Linked DNA regions of Diceros bicornis minor. The protein of the gene in region 1 interacts with the protein of each later gene in a pairwise test. Links are inferred from orthologs where the notes say so. Each region holds a gene or a part of one and is shown in the gene's direction. Other genes may lie near its edges.

The links. The genes of interacting proteins can lie anywhere in the genome.
Region 2: the proteins of SNRPA (region 1) and LENG8 interact in binary tests that used the Homo sapiens proteins (3 or more experiments, as listed by UniProt). The two-hybrid records come from large-scale screens. The link is inferred for Diceros bicornis minor from reciprocal best matches to the Homo sapiens genes SNRPA and LENG8.

What each region holds. Positions count from the first base shown.
Region 1 is NC_080773.1:14,227,389-14,237,974, forward strand, and holds the start of SNRPA (U1 small nuclear ribonucleoprotein A), read left to right. Parts: upstream 1-6,191; 5' UTR 6,192-6,286; exon of another isoform or gene 6,287-6,298; intron 6,299-6,622; exon of another isoform or gene 6,623-6,755; 5' UTR 6,756-6,769; coding exon 6,770-6,842; intron 6,843-10,464; coding exon 10,465-10,586. Other genes in the region: ACTMAP (actin maturation protease), read right to left, coding at 183-520, 1,328-1,398, 1,490-1,619, 1,984-2,108, 2,617-2,685, 4,833-5,152. UniProt on the Homo sapiens protein: Component of the spliceosomal U1 snRNP, which is essential for recognition of the pre-mRNA 5' splice-site and the subsequent assembly of the spliceosome. U1 snRNP is the first snRNP to interact with pre-mRNA.
Region 2 is NC_080773.1:32,059,390-32,068,575, reverse strand, and holds the start of LENG8 (leukocyte receptor cluster member 8), read left to right. Parts: upstream 1-4,840; 5' UTR 4,841-4,943; intron 4,944-6,515; 5' UTR 6,516-6,570; coding exon 6,571-6,608; intron 6,609-7,569; coding exon 7,570-7,744; intron 7,745-8,118; coding exon 8,119-8,220; intron 8,221-9,051; coding exon 9,052-9,162; intron 9,163-9,186. Other genes in the region: TTYH1 (protein tweety homolog 1), read left to right, coding at 31-111, 234-267.

The sequences.
Region 1 (10,586 bases):
CAGGATTGGGACTGGATGCACTGGGGTGGACCCTGCATGAAAGACCTCTGGCTGGAGGTCCTCAGAGATCCAACCCAAACCCTTGGGCTGTTGCACAAAAGGAGAAACGGGGGCGTTTTTCAAATGGTGACAGAGCCAGGCTGTGGCCCAGACCCAGTCCCACAGCTCAGGGCCGCAGCAGGCTAGTGGCTAGAGTCCTGTGGTCTGAGGAGCAGGGCCTGTCCACAGAGGCCGGCCCGCACCCCACCAGCAGGCACCACATACTCCCGGCCATCAGCGGCCCTCGAGGGCGAGAAGTCCGTCAGCTGCAGGTTGCTATCCCGGACTTGGTCGTAGTCCCACAGCTGGTAGTGCCAACTCTTGCCCTGCTTGGAGAGAAGGTAGACGACTCCTGGCGAGTCTTCCTCCGGCAGGGATGGTGGCTGGCGGGGCGTGTGAGGCACTGGGTGGAACAGGCCTGGCAGCTCGGGGTCCTCGGCATAGCCGAGACTTGGCACATGCTGCACGCCCAGCAGGACCCCTGGGAGGAGAGGGGGAGGCTGTGAGTGGGAGCTGAGCCCTGACGAGGTGCTGGGGCTCACTGAGTGCACCCCACAGCCCTCCAGGGTAGGTGCTGCCTCTATCCCCACGGTACAGAGACGTCAGCAGGGACCACAGGCAGGGCTGAGATCTGCACCCAGGGTGTCTGGCTCCACAGCTGCAGGCAAGTCCTGCCTCCTCCAGCCTGTCAGCACAGGGAGCTGGGAGGCGGCGCTAAAAAGAGCAAACAGCCATTTGCATCACAAAGAGATACTCAGGGAGGAGCCCTCCAGGCCACAGACCCACGAGGGGCCCAAGTGGAGCCTCAATCCAGGCCACCTGACACCCGCAAATCCATCCTTCTTTCAGGCAGGTGGAATGATGACAACGCTCATCACAGCCAACACTGAGACGTGTAACGTGCCAAGCCCTGTTGTACGAGTTCTATGTGCTCAGCCTGTAAAGCAGCCCTGTCAGTGGGTGCTACTGTCACCTTGATTTCCAGATGGAGAAATGGAAGCCCAGAGCAGAGCCTGGGAGTGGCTGGACCGGGCCTGGAGCCCAGACTGTCCGATCCTAAAGTCTGCACTCTGAGCTTGTGCATGGAAACCCCCACTGGCAGACACTGAGGCACCTGCTGTCTGCCAGGTCCCTGCTAAGTACCCTCTGGGGACAGGGATGGCCCAGCCCTTGTCCTCGCCTCGAGGGGACTGGGGAGGTGCCAGTGCAAGGGTGAAACTGTGAGGGGGGGTGACGGGGGGCTGGGGAGATCCAGCGTGAGGGCTCAGGGGTGCAGGGGGCGACCCACCTGCGCTCACTGCCCAGTGGGCCTTGTAGCCCTTTCTCTGACACGGCTCGTGGTTGAAGTCCTCATCGTAGCTGGTGCTGGGGTTAAGGCCAAAGCTGTGGTGTGGCCCTGGGACCCACCCTTCTCCATCCCCACCCTGCTCTCTTCCCGGCCTTGGGATACGGGATGAGCAAGGGATTTCCAGCGACAAGGTGCTGCAGGACACGGTCTCTGTTGGGACCGCCCAGGCCTCCAGAAAGCAGCTCAGCCTGGCAGCCCAGCGCCTCCCGGGCCAGCCTGCCCACGTTGGCCACTGCAGACAGAGCAGACACAGAGCAAGGCATCACTGTGTGCCTGGGACCGTGCCAAGGGCTCTCTGGGGATCGAGCCTCTAGCTCCCACCATGACCATCACCTCTTTGTACAAACGAAGAAAATGAGGCTCCAAGAGGGTAAGCTGCTTGGCCAGGGCCACACAGTAGGGGGTAGCAGAGCTGGCTGGGAACCCAGGCAGCCTGGCTCAAGTCTACCTTGTAATACTCTGCTCTACCGGGTGGGGAGACGGGCCTGAGGAACAGAATAAGTTCCCCTCATGCACCTGGCAGTGTCCCACCCAGCCTCTCCAGTCCCCTGCTGGTGAAGAACACCTGACTTGCAACCCTTCTGCACCCAACTCACCAGAGAACATCTCTCCCTGGGCCGTGTAGCCTCTCTCCACAGCCATGTGCACGAGTCTCTCCAGGGGGACACCGCTGGGGGGCGCCAGGAGAGTGCCTGCCATCCACAAGGCCACCAGCCCACACCTGGGGAGAGCCAGGCCCAGCCCCTCAACCTGAGTCATGTCTTTACTGGGCACTCCTTTGCCCCAGAAGCTGAAGTTTGGGTAACAGGTTTGCTGCCCTGGGGAAGTTCCCCTCCCCTCTCTCAGGCCGGGTGGGGACACCTGACTCCCTTTCATGAGAGAGAGGATGGCCAAGGCCTGAGCCCAGGGCTGGAGGGCTGGAGGTGGGGTGAGAGGGTGGGCACAGACGTCACCTGGGCTTCAAAGAGGAGTAGGTGCAAAAGTGGAGTTAGAGATGAGGGACCAGGTTCATTCATTCACTCACCTGCTCATTGGTGCCAACTCTGTCTACTGCGCATGCACCCAGGACCTCAACTTGGTAAGTTCCCCTTCCCGCCCCCCCACCTCCCCAGCCTGCCTCCTCCCACTCCTCCCACCCTCCTGGGTCAATCCTCACGAAGCCCAGCAAAGGCAGGGGCTCGGAATGCCTGGCCGGCCAGGGGGCTGGAGTTCCGCATCAGGGCACGTACTGAGGGCCTTCTTGGATGAGGGAGGGCAGCTCCGCACAGAAGAGGATCCACCGCAGGTCACTCCTGAAACTGAATCAGAGCCACACTCAGGTCACGTGGGAACTAGCTCCTAGACCCCCGCCTTGAGGTCTGGCCAGGAGTGGGGTGTCAAGGGACGGTGATGAGGAGGAACACAGGCCTGGCTGTCCTGAAGCCCGAGGGCCACTCCTGGTTCTGTCACTGACTTCCTTCACCCCAGATGAGGGACTTCCCGTCCCGAGCCTCAGTTTCCTCATCTGCTCAATGGGAATCATCCTTCCACCTGCTGCTCCCTGCTCCTTCTCTCAGTTACCGAAGGGGCGAAGGTTTGCAACCAGGAACCACAGAAATATCTTATATAAGGTGAAAATTCCTTAATTCAGCCTTGAGTAAAACCAGGTAACAACATGCTCCAGGCCTAGAGATCACCTTCATAATGAGCCCTTGCAGGCCCGCCCAGCCCCACCCTTGGGGAGGCCTGCCAACAGCTCTGGTGATGCCAATCCCACTCCCTCCAGGGCTCAGGAGGGGGAGGGCCAAGTGCTTGTATTTCTATTAGAAGGCCAGTGAAAGGGCAAGGCTGGGGGGGCACCCCACCCTCCTGATAAAGCAGGTGCTATCACGGCACATGATTAAGAGCATGGAGCCCCGTTGCCTGAGTTCAAATTGGGCTCTTTCTCTTCTAGGCACTGTGGCTAAGTGATTTCACTTCTATGAGCCTCAGTTTTCTCATCTGGAAAATGGGATAATAGTTCCCATTGCATGAGCTGCTGAGCGGTTTAAATAAGTACTTAAAAACACGTAGAACACTGCCTGACACATGCTAGGCAGGCATAACGGGTATTGTTATTTGCATCAAATTTGCCTCACTATGGTTGGGGCATTTAGGGCAGATTATCAACTCATTTGGAGAGCTGGAAGTTTCCTCTTGGAGTCTGGGCAAATCACTTCTCCCTCTCTCACTCAGCCAGACAATTGGTAAACCGGGTCCCCACAGCCCGAGCCCAAGTCTAGCCCCTCCCCTCCCGCCTGGGTCCCTTGGTGCTCCAGCTTCCTGCTGGGTCCCCAGGTTCCAGTCTCACCACCTCCACTCCCCGCAGTCGCCTCCCTCCCTGCACAAAGCCCTTCCACGGCTCCCTAGTGCCCTCAGGACAGTCCACTTTCCTTCACATGGGCCCCCATGCCCTGCCCACCTGTGAAACCCCATCTTTGCCACTTCCCCTGTCCCCTTAGAGAAACATTTGCAGGGCCTTTACAAGAACATGTCTTCCTTTCACTCTAGTCTCGGCACAAGCTGCTTACTCTCGTGACACAGCCCTGCAGGACTTGCTCAACAGCTCTCAGGGGTCCCATTCTCCAAGCAGGTCCCCCTCACCCCCAGCCTGGGTTGGGCACTCCCTCTGGGTGCCCAGAGTTTTGACTGCTCTGGGCTGTCACTCTCTGGTGGAGGGAGGGATCTGTCTCACTGGACTAGATGCTTGTGATACCAGTTCAACCCAAGGTTGACATAAGGAAGCCATATTGAAGAAAAGAACCCATATTGTAACTTTGAACGACCTTCCATTAACTAACCCAGACATACTCTGTAGATTTTATGGCCCCTTCCAACTGCTTTACATGGATAACTTTATTCTTCTGAGTCCCTTAGGAATGTGGTGACCCCTGGGCAGAGAGTCTATGCTGACTGCCATCATCAATGACAACTGAAAGATCAGGGTATAACACCCTGCTCAGCTCTCTGACCCGTATCTAGTAAAACAAAGACTATCAGATGCCTCCCCCACCTGGAGACCAGCCCCATAGATAACTGGCCTGTAGTCCTTTTTCCGTAAGATGGTTCTTTTGGACATTAGTCGCCATGTTCCCCCTTGCTAGCAAGCTGTAATGAAAAGTCCTTTCTCTCCTACCTCCTTGCCTCTTGACTACTGGCACGTCTTGCGGTGGGCAGACGCCACGCCCCCCCCCCCCCCCCCCCCCCCGACCCCTACCCCCTTGGGTGGCAACACTTGTGGGGGCAGGATCTTTCTTCAGGGCTGAAGGCACACCACTGCTGTAGCGGTCTAAGTAGGGGGCTGAAGCAGTCAGGCTGTTTGACGTTGAGGAAACGAGAAACCTCCCAGAGGAGATGGCTGAAGTGCTCTGGGGACAGGTGGTTCAGTGAGGCCCCGGGGGGGTGGGGTGGGGCACAGGGACCCTACCGCTCCTTGTGCAGCTTCAGCAGCCTCTTCACATCCTCTCTGCTCCTGGGGACTGGGCCAGCCTTCTCCAAGGCCTCCTTCAGGAGCCGGCTCTTCTCCAGGCCGTAGACATGAGGGGGAGCAACCCCTGTGGCAGGGGGTGGAGGTGGCAGTGGGGGTGGTGGGGGAATAGGGGCCTCAAGACTCAAGGAAGGGGGTGGAAAAGCTAAGTCGGGGAGATGTGGGGGTAGCGGAGGAGGTGGAATGATGGGGGCCTGGGGTGCAGGGGGTCTTGGAGGAGGGGCTGGTGGCTCTAGGGGAGGAGAACACGGAGAAATCATTTGAGAGTCTATGGCATAGGCTGGAAGTCAAGAATGGGAGAGAGAACGATCCTCCAAAATGAGTTGGTCTCAGGGATGGAGATTCTGAAGGTTTTAGAGCTGAGTCCCAGAATTTAGTGGCCGAGCCATCATTGAAAGAACCATGGTAAAATTTGGAACCATGGGAGCAGGGAGGAGGCTGACTCAAATCAGGAGGGATCTGAGGGTTAACAGGGCAGGGTCCTTTAATCCGGAGCTAGATTTGTGCTATCCGGTTGGGTTGCAAGGCTCAAGGAGGGCGATTTAGTAGGAGTTAACTAATCCGGGACTAGATTTGGAAACTTCAGGATCAATTTTGGGATATGAAGGCTCAGACCTGGGGTGAGGCGCCTAAGCCGTGGGATTTAGAAGCCCAGGGCTGAAGACTGGGTTATTCACGCTCTGTAACCCCTCACACTGCAGGCCCGAGTTCAGAAACTTGGAGCTGACCTTTGAGCCAGACGTCAAGAGGTCAAAAGGACACCTGGCAGGAAAAAGAGCCTACTTGTGGAGAATGTCCTAGAATCAGAGCGCAAAAAAACAAAGTCTTGCGGGCTGGGGAAGGCTCAGAAATCGGAGAGCGCTGGGAGCCACGATACCGTTGGGGTAGAGAATGAAGCCAGGACGTAAAAGGCGCCTCCGCAACCCCACAAAATGGCGGCCGCAGCTCACAACCTTTCACATGTCACGTGGTAGGACTCGCAACTCGTGCCCGCCCCTTTAGCGATCACGTGACAGAGAAGGCGCGGCGGAGGGGAGGTTGGGGCTGCCAAAGGACTGTCTCCGGAAGAGATTGCAGCACGAGCCGCGTCCCGATTGGCAAGAAGCGCGTGAGCGGGCGCAGCCTTCATTGATTGGTCCGGAGCCTCAGGCGCCGCAGCAAGCGGAGGGTTTGCGGGGAGTGGGCGGGGTGTTCCTGCCGAGGCGGGAACCTAAGTGCCGTTTTGATTGGCAAGATCTGGCCCAGGGGCGGGACTTACTCTGATTGGTCAAGCTACCGAATTTCCGCGCGGGGATTGGCTTGCAGAAAGACAGAGGCGGGGCCAGGAGAGGCAGCTTTGTGGTCGGCACTCAGAAGCGTAGCAGGCAGCACTTGCGGGAGCTGTGGCTCTGTTTGTAAGTAATCTCGGGCGCAGGCGGCCATTGACGCCGGGCGGGCGTATCGCTTGGCGTCCGAGCCTTCTCGCACCTCGTGTGGGGAAATTATTTTCCCACTGCGCGAGGCCAGGGCGCCGCAAAGTCGTCCCTCCTTCCTTAACTGGCTCTTACATCCGGGTTTTTTCTCCTGGGCCGCCCTTTGAGTGCGTGGGCCAATGGGAATCGCCACTTAGTACGCTCCGCCTACTGGGTCGCGTAGAGCATCCTGGGACTGGTAGTAAACCTCTCGAGATTTCCCTCACACGCGAGGAGGAGAAGCCGCGTGCTGCGTTGGCTTTGTTTCCCCGGCTTTGCCTCTCTCTTCTCTTCTACCTACGTGACCTGCCTTCCTCCTGGAAGGAAGATCCATAATCAGCCCGTTAAGCCCGCGCTGGGACAAAGGATTTGGAGAAAGCCAGGGCTGAAGTTATCTTTTTCCTTCTTTTAGCCCTACCTCACTCCATGGCAGTTCCCGAGACCCGTCCCAACCACACTATTTATATCAACAACCTCAACGAGAAGATCAAGAAGGATGGTGAGTTCTCGGAATAGTTCTGACTCCATGCTGTCCCGCAGGAGCTGGCCGCCTCTTCCATCCCCAGTATCTACTTCCTTTCCTGAGCTTCCTCCAGCCAAACTGTTAGAGTTGACCCCTCGGCCTTTGCACGTGCTGCTTCCGCTGTCTTTAACGCTCCTCAGCTCATCTCCCGCTCCGCGCGGTAACCTGGTCACTGTTGCTCGTCCTTCCAGGTTTCAGCTCACAGGACCCCTCCTCCAGGAAGCCGTGCCCATCCCCTTTCCCCTCAGGTGCCTGCCTCTGACTTCCCACGGGCCCTAGACATCCCCTCCTCAAGCCCTGATCCTTCTAGGCTGTCATGGGGCTGTCCCTCCGCTGGCCTTTGAGCTCCCTGAGGGTTAGAACTGGGACTGTCTTGGTCACTGTCGTGTTCTCAGTGATCAGTCCCCAGTGAACGTGTTTCATTTCAAAATGAAAATGACAGACGTCAATTGAAAAAAAAAGAAAGTGAAATGAATAAATAATGATGGTTAACACTCTATACGAGGCACTGATGTATGAATCTTTTTTTTGTGGTGAGGAAGATTAGCCCTGAACTAACATCTGTTGCCAATCCTCCTCTTTTGTTTCCCTGAAGAAGATTGGCCCTGGGCTAGCATCCGTGCCCGTCTTCCTCTACTTTACATGGGACGCCGCCACAGCGTGGCGTGATGAGCGGTGCACAGGTCTGGGCCTGGAATCCAATCCTACGAACTCTGGGCCGCCGGAGTGGAGGGTGTGAACTTCACCACCACGCCACCAAGCAGCCTCTGATGTATAAATCTTGATCACGTGTAATTTTCACAACAGCCCTGCAGGAAGGAGCTGTTATTCCCGTTTCTCACATGAGGAAACTGAGACTCAGCAGTGATGTGACTTGTCCAAGGTCACACAGCAAGGAAAAGTGGTTGAGGCCACTGGTGTGGAATTCTGCTGGAGAACGCCATTCTTGACATCTGATGTACTCTCCCATTTTCTTCAGCAAGTTACTACCTTTATTGAACTTCATTTTCGGTATTTGAAAACTGGGCAAAATTATAATTCCTTCTTTGCACGGATGTTACGGGGCTTGAATTAGCTAAACCTCCATGCAGTGGTTATTTTTTTTCTTTTTTTGGTGAGGAAGATTGTCCCTGAACTAACTGTGCCCATCTTTCTCTATTTTGTACGTGGGACGCCTGCCACAGCATGGCTTGATGAGTGGTGTGTAGGTCCACACTCGGGATCTGAACCCGTGAACCCCGGGCCGCTGATGCGGAGTGTGTGAACTTAACCACTATGCCACCAGGCTGGCCCCCAGTGCTTGTTTTTATGGTACCTGGCAGTTAGTAGGAGTCTGATAAATGTTAGCTCTCACTGTCACCTCAAGAAAATTGCTGGCAGAACCAAAGGAGCTTACTGGGACGAAGTTTGAGGTTACTGATCAAGTTGCTGTTGAAAACAAAGTAAGTCACGTAAATCCCCCACGTGCTTTAAAGCATCATGCCCAGCCAGCACCCTGCGGTGCTGGGGACACATTGGTGCCTGGTGCAGTCCTGGTCCTGCCTTCATGGAGCCACAGTCCAGTGTGGGTGACAGACCCGCTACCAGACAGTGGTAGCCCAGAGGAGCCAGGGCCATGACTGGGGAAGCACAGGCCGAGCGGTCAGGGCTGGGATTGGGCACCTAGAAAGAGAGATTCATTCAGTTTCATAGAGAAGGAGACATTTTGGAAAGGTCTTCCAGGTAGGAATCAGTATTTGTGTGATGATGAGTGGGAAGAGTGTTCCTAACCTGGACCAGCATGTGCAAATATCTAGGGGCCAAAGAGAGCTGGGGCATTCTGGGAACTATGGGTAATTTTGTGTGCCTGAGGCCTAGAGGAGAAGCTTCCAGTGAGCAGTGCTCTGATGGCTCATGGGGCCTTGTGGGCCGGGTGAGGCGTTGGACTTCGTCCTGAGGGCCTCAGGGAGCCAGGCAACAGATGCAGTCAGTTGTGAAAGAGCTTCCAGGTGTGGAGGGTGAACGTGAGTGGGCAAGAGAGGAGCCTGGGGAGAGCCCAGGGTCCAGTGGAATGACTGTGGCCCCAGCTGGGGTCACGGGGATGGGGGATGGAGACAAAAACCAGAAATAGCACCAGGAGAATTTTTGGTTAATTATTTCCCCTCAGACTCACTCGCCCCCACACACACATTTTCTTCTTCCCTGCCCTAGAACCCGTTTCACCAAAAATCTTCAGCTGAGGTACCTTCTTTGCATAAGATGGGTACCCTTTTCCTGCTTGGGTGGTGAGAGGTCTTCCCTTGGTGGAGCTTGACTCCTCCTTGCTGTCAAGTGATGAGGCATTTTGCTAGTGAGGTGTGGTGGTACTGGGTTCAGATGGACCTGGTCCTGGTGCCAGCTCTGCAGGGCTTTCCCACCACCCTCAGGACACTTGTCCTGGGCCAGTGACAAATCCTCTGGGAGCCTGTTTCCATGTTTGTGAAATTGAGACAGTTGTAGTTGCTACTCGTGGAGTTGTGAGAATTTAATGAAGTTATTTCCATAAAACACTTAATGATATCTTTTTCCATGTAAATGTTTGTGGAGAAATTTGTGTGCTGGAATCTGTACTAAGCATGGCGATACTGCGGTCAACAAATGGGACAGGCTTGTAGCTCTTCAGAAGGAGAGCCAGACATCAAGTAAACAGACATGTTAGGAGGTGGAAAATGCCATGAAGGAAAAGCAGGTGGGGTACGAGGAGGGGGAAGAGTCACATGAAGGCGCATTTCTTTAGACATGTGGTCAGGCAAGGCCTCTGAAGTGGCAACATTTCTGCTGAGACCTGGGTGACTAGAAGGAGGCAGCCATGTACACATCAGGAGAAAGGTGTTCTTGGTAGAGGGAGCAGCCAGTGCAAAGGTCCTGAGGCAGAAATTGGTGTGTTGGGCCTGAGAATGGGCTGGGAGGCCAGTGTGGCTGGAGATACGGGAGTGAGATGGAACGTGGAGAGAGATGAGGTTGGAGAAGTCAGCCAGGGCAACATCACCCAGGCCTGTGTCAAGGTGCTGTGGACGATGAAAAGAAGTATATGATGGGGGCCGGCCCCGTGGTGTAGCAGTTAAGTGTGCGCACTCCGTTGCTGGCGGCCCGGGTTCGGATCCTGGGCACACACCGATGCACCGCTTGTCAAGCCGTGCTAGGGCGGCGTCCCATATAAAGTAGAGGAAGGTGGGCACGGATGTTAGCCCAGGGCCAGTCTTCCTCAGCAAAAAGAGGAGGATTGGCATGGGATGTTAGCTCAGGGCTGGTCTTCCTCACAAAAAAAAAGAAGTATGTGACGCATTTATGGAGCAGTTGCTATGTGGCCTTTGTATGTGTGAGTCGTTCCTCATACGGCAGTCCTGTGGGGTAGGTATCGTTACTGCCCGCCTCTTACAGAGGATGCACACGACCACTTGAGTGGTTCTTGGCTGCTGCTGGTGTTGCTGCCTCTTGAGGGATTCCTGACCCACGGCATTCTGGGTAGGCTGTCCGTTGGCTGATGGTTTCTCTTCTGGGCTACACTTTCCTCTGAAAACGGGAGCTCAACCATACCAAGGCCTCTAGTCACCCGTGGGTCTTTCCTTCCCCACTGCAGAGCTGAAGAAGTCCCTGTACGCCATCTTCTCCCAGTTTGGCCAGATCCTGGATATCCTGGTCTCGCGGAGCCTGAAGATGAGGGGCCAGGCCTTCGTCATCTTCAAGGAGGTCAGCAGTGCC
Region 2 (9,186 bases), about 18 Mb from region 1:
TGTCCCCTCTCACCCAAATCTCCCCAGCAGGAATCCAAGCGCTTTGTGCAGTGGCAGTCGTCTATCTGAGCCCCTCCTCCATGCCAGACTGCAGCCTACCCCCCACCTCCGGTGAGCTGCCAGAGCGACACCCCAGCTCCCAAAGCCGGCCTCTGCCCTCCTCTCCCTCACTCTGGGCACGGTGGTGGCCCTCCCACCTGCATCTGGTGCCCTGTCTCTGCCTCTCTCTGCAGTTCCTTCCCTGGCTGCTGGAGAAGACCCCACTAACCCAGCCCAACTGGGCTCCCACCACTAACAACGCCGCTGGCCACGGACACCCCAAATAGGACTGCTCCCCTGTCCTGCCCCCCTCTTTGTGTCCTAACCCTTGGGAGTAAGCTGAGGGGGCAGCCAGGGCCCCGGACTGGCCAGGGAGGGGCAGCCAGCCAGCCTCACACCCCCTCACCCCTGGCCGCCAGGCCCATCCTTGAAGGGACACGAGTGCCCCCGCCCCTGCGGTGCCCCAGTGGGCTTAGGGCCCTTGATCTCAACTTGTGGCACTAACTTGGGAATGGGTTGGTTTGAAATAAAAGGGAAGACTTTATTTTACAAGGATCTGGGTCCTTCTTATTTGTCCCCTCCTGGTTCTGGCCTCCTAGTTAGGTCCGGGGAGATCCCTTCCCCTCAGCCTCCTGGCTGCCGGTGTTTCTGCTCCTGTCCAGGCTTTGCGGCGGTTCCAAAGGGATTGTTCTTTTTAAAAAAAAAAATAACTTTTTTTCTCTGGTTTTAAAAGCAGTACATGTGTCCTGACACAGGACGAGGTGGACATCCCTGGAACAGAATAGATAGCCTGGTAATAGATCTCAGTGTTTGTATAGATGACAGAAGACAGACTGCAGGTCAGGGTGAGAAGGACCGTTTGGTTTCGAAGCACTGCTGACTTAACTGGCTCTCTGTCTGGAAATACATACGAGATGGGTGAAAAATCTAAGTGTATACAAGTAAAGGGATGGAAGCATTTCAAGAGAAAGTAGGAGAATTCTGTATATTGTATATCTTGCTTGGAGGGGGAGGATTTTAAGCAAGATATCCTAAAGCCGAAAAGGAAAAGGTAACATTTGACAAATTGTGGAACGAAAAAAATGCTGTCAAGAGGCAAATTGATAGTCTGGGGAAAATTGTGGGTTTTTTTAACATATATGGCAAAGAAATATATAATTCTTAATATATAAATATAATCTACAAAGCTTCCACAAACTAAGAAAAATACAACCCAACTTAAAAATAAGCAACTAAGATAGACATTCAATGAAGTGAAAATCCCATCACCAGTGAAAACGAAAAACCATTCAAACCATAATAATTAGGAAGTGCAATTTGAAACAACCACAAACTTTTTTTTCCACCACCTAGTTATCACGAAATTAAAGGAGCACTAACATTCCATGCTGGCAAGGATGTGGAGGAACCAGGCACCCAAACGCCCTGCTCCCGAGGCTGTGAACTGCAACACGAAAGAAATAATCTGCTCCTGTGTGATAAAATCAAACTGTATAGACCCTTGAGCCGGCAGTCCTACTTTTGGGAATCAATTTATGGAAAGAAAGCAGAGGCATCTGAGGACATATGTCAAGGACTGTTTGCTGCAACCATCAGCTAAACTCTGGAAACTAAAGTCCACAGAAAGACGACATGTCTGATAAGTCACCCTACAGCAGGGCTCTCCAGAACACGACAGCTCCTGGCTGGGCCTGGGATTTCAGGGAAAGCCTGAGAGAGGAGGGATTTGAGGTGGGTGTGACAATAGCAGCAGAGCAGACAAACACAGAGGAGGCCGTGGTTAAGCCCTGCCTGCTCTTTACCACCAGTTGGCCGTGGGCAGTCACCTGACCTGTTGGACCTCAGCTGCCTCAGCCATCAGATGGGTCATGAAAGACAGCTCCCCCGTCCCTCCTCTGCAGTTCTGAAATCCAAAGAGCTGTGTTAGACCAAACGTCCTCCCTTAACTCCCTGGGCAGCAGGACCTGACCCGACCTGGCATGAGGTGACTTCCAGACTATCTCCCTGCCTGGTGTGAATGTTCATCTGTTTCCCTGCAGAAACTGATGGGGTTACTTCCAAGTGCTGTGAAGGGTGCTGTGGATGTGGTGTGCCACATGGAACATAAACCATGTTGTCTCTCAAAACTTTGAAAAATCCTGGAGCCCCAAGACACATATATGGCCCTGAGGGTTTCGGGTGAGGGCTGGTTGGCTGAGTGTCAGATGCGGGTATCCAGCATAGGGCCTGCCATGGGGGAACCGCTCTGTGCTTGCTAATCATTTCCATCCTGTGCACTGCAAGGAGTGTTCAAGAGAGCTTTCAGTGTGTGGCCCTGAAGCTAGGAAAGAGAAATGGACTATAATTTCCTGTGAAGGGCTCTGGGGGCCACCTGTGTTGACTCACTTGCTTCTCAAGACCCGGTGAGCTGACCCTGGGGCCAGCCCTGCTGCTAGTCTGGCTGTTTTGCTCTCAAACACTGCCCCCTAGTGACTCTGAGTCCAGCGCGATGTGTTGGATTTCGCAAAGTACCCTTGAGGTTCAGGCCGCGTGATTTCCTGCCAGCTGGCCTTCCAGTGATCTTTAATCAGGAAGCTTTACCCAAGAAAAAAGGACATTTGCCCAATCTTTACCAAAGTAAATCTATAAATTTAAAATCTATCATTTATTTTTAAATGATACCTATGAGGACTCCCACTTCTGACCAAGATAGACTAAAAGGGACTGGATCTGCTCTCCTTCCTGAGACAACCAAAAAGCCAGGCAAAATTCGTGAAAGAACGGTGCTCAAGACTCGGGACATCAGGCAAGGAGGGAGAGTGGTCCCTGAGAGATGGGAAATATCAAGGTGATCCCTGAAATCACCAGTCTGTCAGAAGAGAGTTTCCCACCACAGTGCAGGGGAGGGGCCCCGAGGCAGAGCACCTCCCAAAGGCCCCACCTAAAACTGCTCTAAAAAATAAAGTCTATTTTTAAAAAAATGCTCAAAGCAAAAGAAGGCAGAAAAAGAGGAAAAGGGGAATAAAGAAAGATGGAACAAATAGAAACTCGATGGCAAGATGATGAGTTTAAAGGGAACCAAACCAATAGTCACACCAAAAGTACAGTTATAAGCACCTCTTTTAAAACGCAGAGATTGTACATTTGAGTAAAAAGAAAGATCCAGCTATATGCCGTCTACATGAAAACCCCCTTAAATATAACCCTGAAATGTACATGGATGCTAAATGCAGTGGGGTACCCTGGACTGGACTCTGGCACATAAAGGAGACGTCAGTGGAAAAAGTGGTGAAATTCAGATAAAGCCTGCAGTTTAGTTAATAGTCACGTGCCAATGTTGGTTTCTTCCTTCTAACAAACATACCACAGTAAAGTGAGATGACAGCATTAGGGGAAACTGGGTGTAGGGTACGTGGGACCTTGAACTATCTCTGCAGCTTTTTTGTAAGTTTAAAATTATTCTAAAACAAAAAGTTTAATAATAAAAAGTAAAAGAATGGAAAAAGGTCAACTATGTGTCGATGCAAATAATCGGTAATCAATCTATAAATCAAATGGGGGTGAGTTTATGATGAGCCAGTCCTGAGGATCACATAGCCGGGGAGAGTACCTTCACCAAGGAAGAAAGCTCTCTGAAGCAGCGGGGTATACAGAGTGGTTATAGACTCTTTTGGAACAAGGAATATACATCAGTTATGCCAGGAATATCTTTTACTACAGTCACAGGATACTTGCTAGCACAGCAGGTCGACGGTAATGAGATGAGCTAAAGCAGGATAGTAATTAACCCTTAATTTCTAGGAAGAAATGCTTATCTTGAAAGAAATACTGATATGAGGGGAGGCAATATCCCTATCTTCAAGGGCATCATTCTCCGCTTTGGGTCATTGTAAATGTTCAAAACAGATGGACAACGCATAGTCGACAGGCCAGGTCAACCCTTTCTGGAAAAACAAGGTCAGGCTGGATTAGTTTTAAACCAAACGGCTTCCTCACATACTCCAATGTATCTTACTGCTTTTTGGTTATTCATCATATGCTAACAGTAACAAAATGATACATACACCAAGAGAAAAGTCTATAGTAACAGAAAGTGGGAAGGAACTGGCCTCTGAAATACTGTTCTATCACCTACTGCGACTCCAGTGACCGCTCCCTGAACTGGACTGGATAATTTTATCAGCCCGAGTCCTGCATGGAAACAGATGGCATGCTCAAAAGGTGACTTGCAAGGAGTTTAAAGGAAGGCCAAACTCCTTAGACTTTCAGGATCTGCTACTGGCCTAGCTCTTCACGCCAGGAGGCCACACACTTCCATCCTATACCTGCTCCGAGCATTCTCCCCGACCTACCCTTGTTTCCCGCCTCTGAGTGTTTCACCAGGCCGTTCCCTCCGCCGGGTGCGCCTTCCCCGTTTTATCTAGTAGGGAAGCTCCCCTTTCCAAGGGGAGACTGTTCTCACCCCCTTTCTCTGAGTTCATTGTCTTCCCCGGGCCTTCCGCAGCACTGTACGGTGGGTAGTTTTACAACTCTCATCACCCTAGTCTACACCTAGAGATAAGCAAGGCTACCGCGAACCGAGGCCCCACACGGCTGCGCGGAAGGGCGCAGGGTCCTACAAGCCTGCGGCGCCTGTCCCCTCGGGGCCACCATCCCCCCGCCCCGTTTCCGGCTTGCCTTTAAAGTGCCCACCGCGTCATTGCGTAGGCGGGGGGGGGGGGGAACGGGCTCAGATCAAGGTTGCGGCGGCCATTGGCTGTGCGGCGGGAGGGAGGCGGGGCGAGGCCTCCGTGTGACGTCATCACGCCGCGGTCGGGACTTCGGAGCCCTAGGAAGACAAGAGCCAGCCGGGTCGGGAGCACTCTCGCGGCCGTGTTGCTCTCGCTTTGGGCCGCTGCTGACGATTCCCGGGGCGATCGGCCGAGGTGGGTGTGGGGAGCTGCGGGCCGGCGGGCGGGCGTGGTCGGCGTCTCCTTTCGGCATTACTCCGCGCGGGCCCGGAGGCCTCGGCGGCTGTCGCAGCAGCGGACGCCGCGCGCGAGCGGCGACAGGGTGTGGCGGGCCGGAGCGGCCACTGCGCCTGCGCACCCGCGCGCCTGCGCCGTGGGCCCGGCTGCCGACCCCGCCCTCGGAATTCCGGGGCCCGCGCGCCCCCGCCCTCAACACCCATTGACCGCGCGATTCCAGCCGCGGGGCGGCGTTGTCCCGGGCGACGGGCGGCTCCTGCGCCGGCTTTTTCCCCGGGGCGGTGGCTCCGGAGCCAGTCGCGGGGGCCGAGGTGGGCTCTTCCTGCAGCCGGTGCCCCTGCTCTGCGTTCTCCGGGCCTGCGGGGCGGCCAAGTGCCCCTCGCCTCCCCGGCCTCGCGTCCGGTTCCTGCCTCCACCCTTCAGACTCGCCAGGACGCTCACTGCAGGCCTTCCTCCCCTATTTCCTACCCTCCCCCGTCCTCTTGTTTACTCTTTAAGGCCTTTCTTTTCTAGGGCTGTTCCCAGCTCCAGACTTCTGTTCCTGCTCCCTCACTTCTACGATTTTCAGGTTCTCCAGTGAGACTCGCCTTGGAGCCCACCCATACTTCTCAGTTATCCCCCCAAGTTCAGGCCCCTCAGTCTTTGCCTCCAAGACACCCCTTCACTTTCTTGCAGTCCTCTCCACCCCCGTCTCAACCTCCTAAAGATGTTCTGGATCTCTTCAGGCATCCCTGAAGCTTACTTTCCAGACCCCCAATCGCGGGGCTGCCTCTTCTCCTTCCTGGGCCTACCCCTCCTTTTAGGAACCTGCCATGTAGGGTTCTTCTGTGCCCTTAGGGGACCTTCCTGTAATTAGTCTCTTAAAAGCTTTTCAAGAACCCATTTCTTCACTGCGGGGTTCCCCTTGGGCACCCTCAACTTCTCCCTGTTTCCAGGAGTAACTTATAGAAATCCCCTTTTCCTTTGATTTCTTTTTCTGTTCTCTGGTATTCTCTTCTCTCAAGGCTCCCTCAAACCCTTCCCTCTTTACAGAGTTCCCCTCAGAAACCTTTCAGCGTCCGCCAGCCTTAGGAGTTCACTCAGGCTTTGCTCATCAGGGCGTCCTCTTTCTTCTGCTTCCTCTCTGGAATTCCTCTTGGACTCCTTACCCCTTGACTGAGGTCCCCCCAGCCTACCCTCTGGACCTCCCTCTTATCTGTCTCAGAGTTTCCCTTGAACCACCTTCCCCTTCCTCCTATGTGTTTCAGATCCTTCTCCTTCCCTTTGGGAAATTCCTTCAGACATCCCTGTTTTCAGATCCTTCATTTCCCACCTAGAGCACTGCAGGGAGGCCAAGGTCTTGCCCTCTTACTGTAGCCCTTTTAATTGACACCCAGAATTCTCTTCAGATTTTTTACCCCAGTGGCTCCTTCTTTCTCAGACTCCCCCTTTCTGCCTAGCTCCTCTGAGTCCATCCACTTCTCTTCCTGTTTTTGTGACATGTCTCTTGCTCCTTCTTGAGTCTCCCTAACTCTTTTCTTTTTCTCGTAGACAGTGAAAAAGCAGTCTGGCTCCCGAGGTCCACCCCTTACACCCCAAGGTCCAGATGGCGGCCAACGTGGGTGATCAACGGAGCACAGATTGGTTAGTGGGGCTAGTGGGACAGAAGCTGGAGGGGAGGGCGAGAGGACGTGAGAGCCAGTGTTGTCCTCTGGGATGGCCCTCCCACAACAGCGTGGGGGAAGTGATGCAGCAGTCCCTGTGGGCAGCGGTGGGGATGACGCCCTCCTCTGGCCTCAAGCATAAAAGGAAGCATGTGGTCATAGTGTGAAGAGGGTTGGGTCTTCACCTCTCTGAACTTTCATATTTCACAGTGCAGTGCTTGTTTCACAAGATTGTGATGATTCATTCATGAACTATGATTGGAGGCGGTCTCCAACACTTAATACTCAAGCATTTATCTTTTTGTTAATTGCTTGTTTTTTCCACCGCATTGTGATAATTACCTGCTGGCTGGGGTAGCGTCAAACGGAATTCTTTGATTCATAAAACATTTACACCTCTTAGGCGCCAGGTTCCATGTTTACTTCTGTGGACACTGGTAATTTTTTCATTTGTTTGATTTTTATTGACTGATTGAGGAAGATCAGCCCTGAGCTAATATCCATGCCAATCTTCCTCTTTTTGCTGAGGAAGACTGGCCCTGGGCTAACATCCATGCCCATCTTCCTCCACTTTATATGGGATGCCGCCACAGCATGGCTTGACAAGTGGTGCCTCTCGGTGCGCACCCGGGATCCAAACCCGGGCAGCCAGCAGCAGAGCGCGCGCACTTAACCGCTACGCCACGGGGCTGGCCCCCTGTTTGATTTTTAACAGCTATGTATCAGGCACCTGGAAAAGTACCTTAGGTAGGTAGTCTCATTTATCCCTCAGAAAACTGAAGCAGAAACTAATTGTCAGCATTACCATAGATTAGGAAATCTAGGCTCTTATAGATGGAGAGAGGGAGATCCGGGATTTGAGCTCTGGTATTTCCCTGCCTCCGTCTTGCCCACTGTGTGCAGTGGGGAGAGGAGACTGACTCGACGTCCTCTCTCTGCAGGTCCTCCCAGTACAGCATGGTGGCGGGGGCGGGCAGAGAGAACGGCATGGAGACGCCCATGCACGAGAACCCAGAGTGGGAGAAGGCCCGCCAGGCCCTGGCCAGCATCAGCAAAGCAGGAGCTGCTGGCAGCTCTGCCAAGGCCAGCAGCAATGGGCCGGTGACCAGCGCACAAGTGAGAGGGCCGCACGGGCCTGGGCACGCTGCACGGGGGGCTGCTGGGGGAGGCACACATGTGGTGTCTTTGTATCACTGGACACAGTGCTCTGAAGAGATTGTAGGAGCTTTCGGGTAGGGGAAGCAGGTCTGTTTCCTTGAAGAGTCGGAGGTACCATGTGGTCCTTGCCCCTGGGAACCTAACCTGAAGAGCGAGGCGTGCCTTCAGTGCCCCGAGTCCGAGGTAGAGGCAGTGGCTCTCTGTGGAGAGATGTGGACCCAGTTCCACTCCGGCAGTTGACCACCAGAAAGTCAGCCTGCCCTTGTGGGGGCTGTGGGGCCCGTGGGTTCCTGCTGCCAACGCTGATGGCGTGTGGGCCTCTCTTCCCACAGTACGTGTCACAGGCAGAAGCCTCGGCCCTGCAGCAGCAGCAGTACTACCAGTGGTACCAGCAGTACAACTACGCCTACCCTTACAGCTACTACTACCCCATGGTAGGTGCCCAGCCCGGCAGGGATGGGTGGGTGAGGAGCTGGGCTCAGTCAGGATGGGTCCAGAGTAGTTAGTGGGTTGAAGTCAGCAGTGACAACCGCTGAAAAGCCCTCCACTAGCTTATTGCCCACGAGATAAATCCCCGGTCCTGCCTGTGGCCCGCCAAGTCCCACGTTACCTGGTTCTGGCCACCTTTCCCCGCATGCTCGCTGACAGTTGCCACAGAGACCTCCTCCATCTCTGCACACACCAGGTCCACTCACACTCTGCTCTGCTCTGCTGCAGCTCTCTTCCCCTGTTCCCACGGCGCCCTGTGTCCCCGCCTCCTGGAGGGCTGCCCAGATGTCACCTTCAGAGAGCCCTTTCCTCTGGCAAACTTAGTCATGTACAGGGCTGTCCCCCGCTCACCCTGTTGTCTCTGTCTTTATTTGGCCTTCTTTTACTTGCCGCTGGATGTGTTACGTGTTTGTCTACGACTGAGCCTAGGTTTTGAGTGCAAACTTGTTAGAGCACAGGTTTAGTCTTTTATATTTTGTTCTATTGTAGTGCATAGAAGAGTTGGCACTCAGTAGATATTTGTTGAATAGAGAGAAACTTCTAAAAACTAGTGGAAGTGGGGTATGGAATTGATAGCAGTTTTCATTTTATTTACTAATTTTTTTAATATAAGATAATTTGATGCATTTATGCGGTGGAGGGAGAAAGAGGGGTGAGAGATGAGTGGAGAGTCACAAGTTGTGTATGGCTCCTGAGTGGCAGGAGAAGGGGGCAGGCCTAGACCTTACGGCAGGAATTGGGCCTGCCCCTAACCCTCCTTCCTGTGCCTTTGGCAGAGCATGTACCAGAGCTACGGCTCCCCCTCCCAGTACGGGATAGCCGGCTCCTACGGCTCAGCCACACCCCAGCAGCCATCGGCACCCCAGCACCAAGGGACTCTGAACCAGGTAACGCCCCAGCTGTCTCCGTGT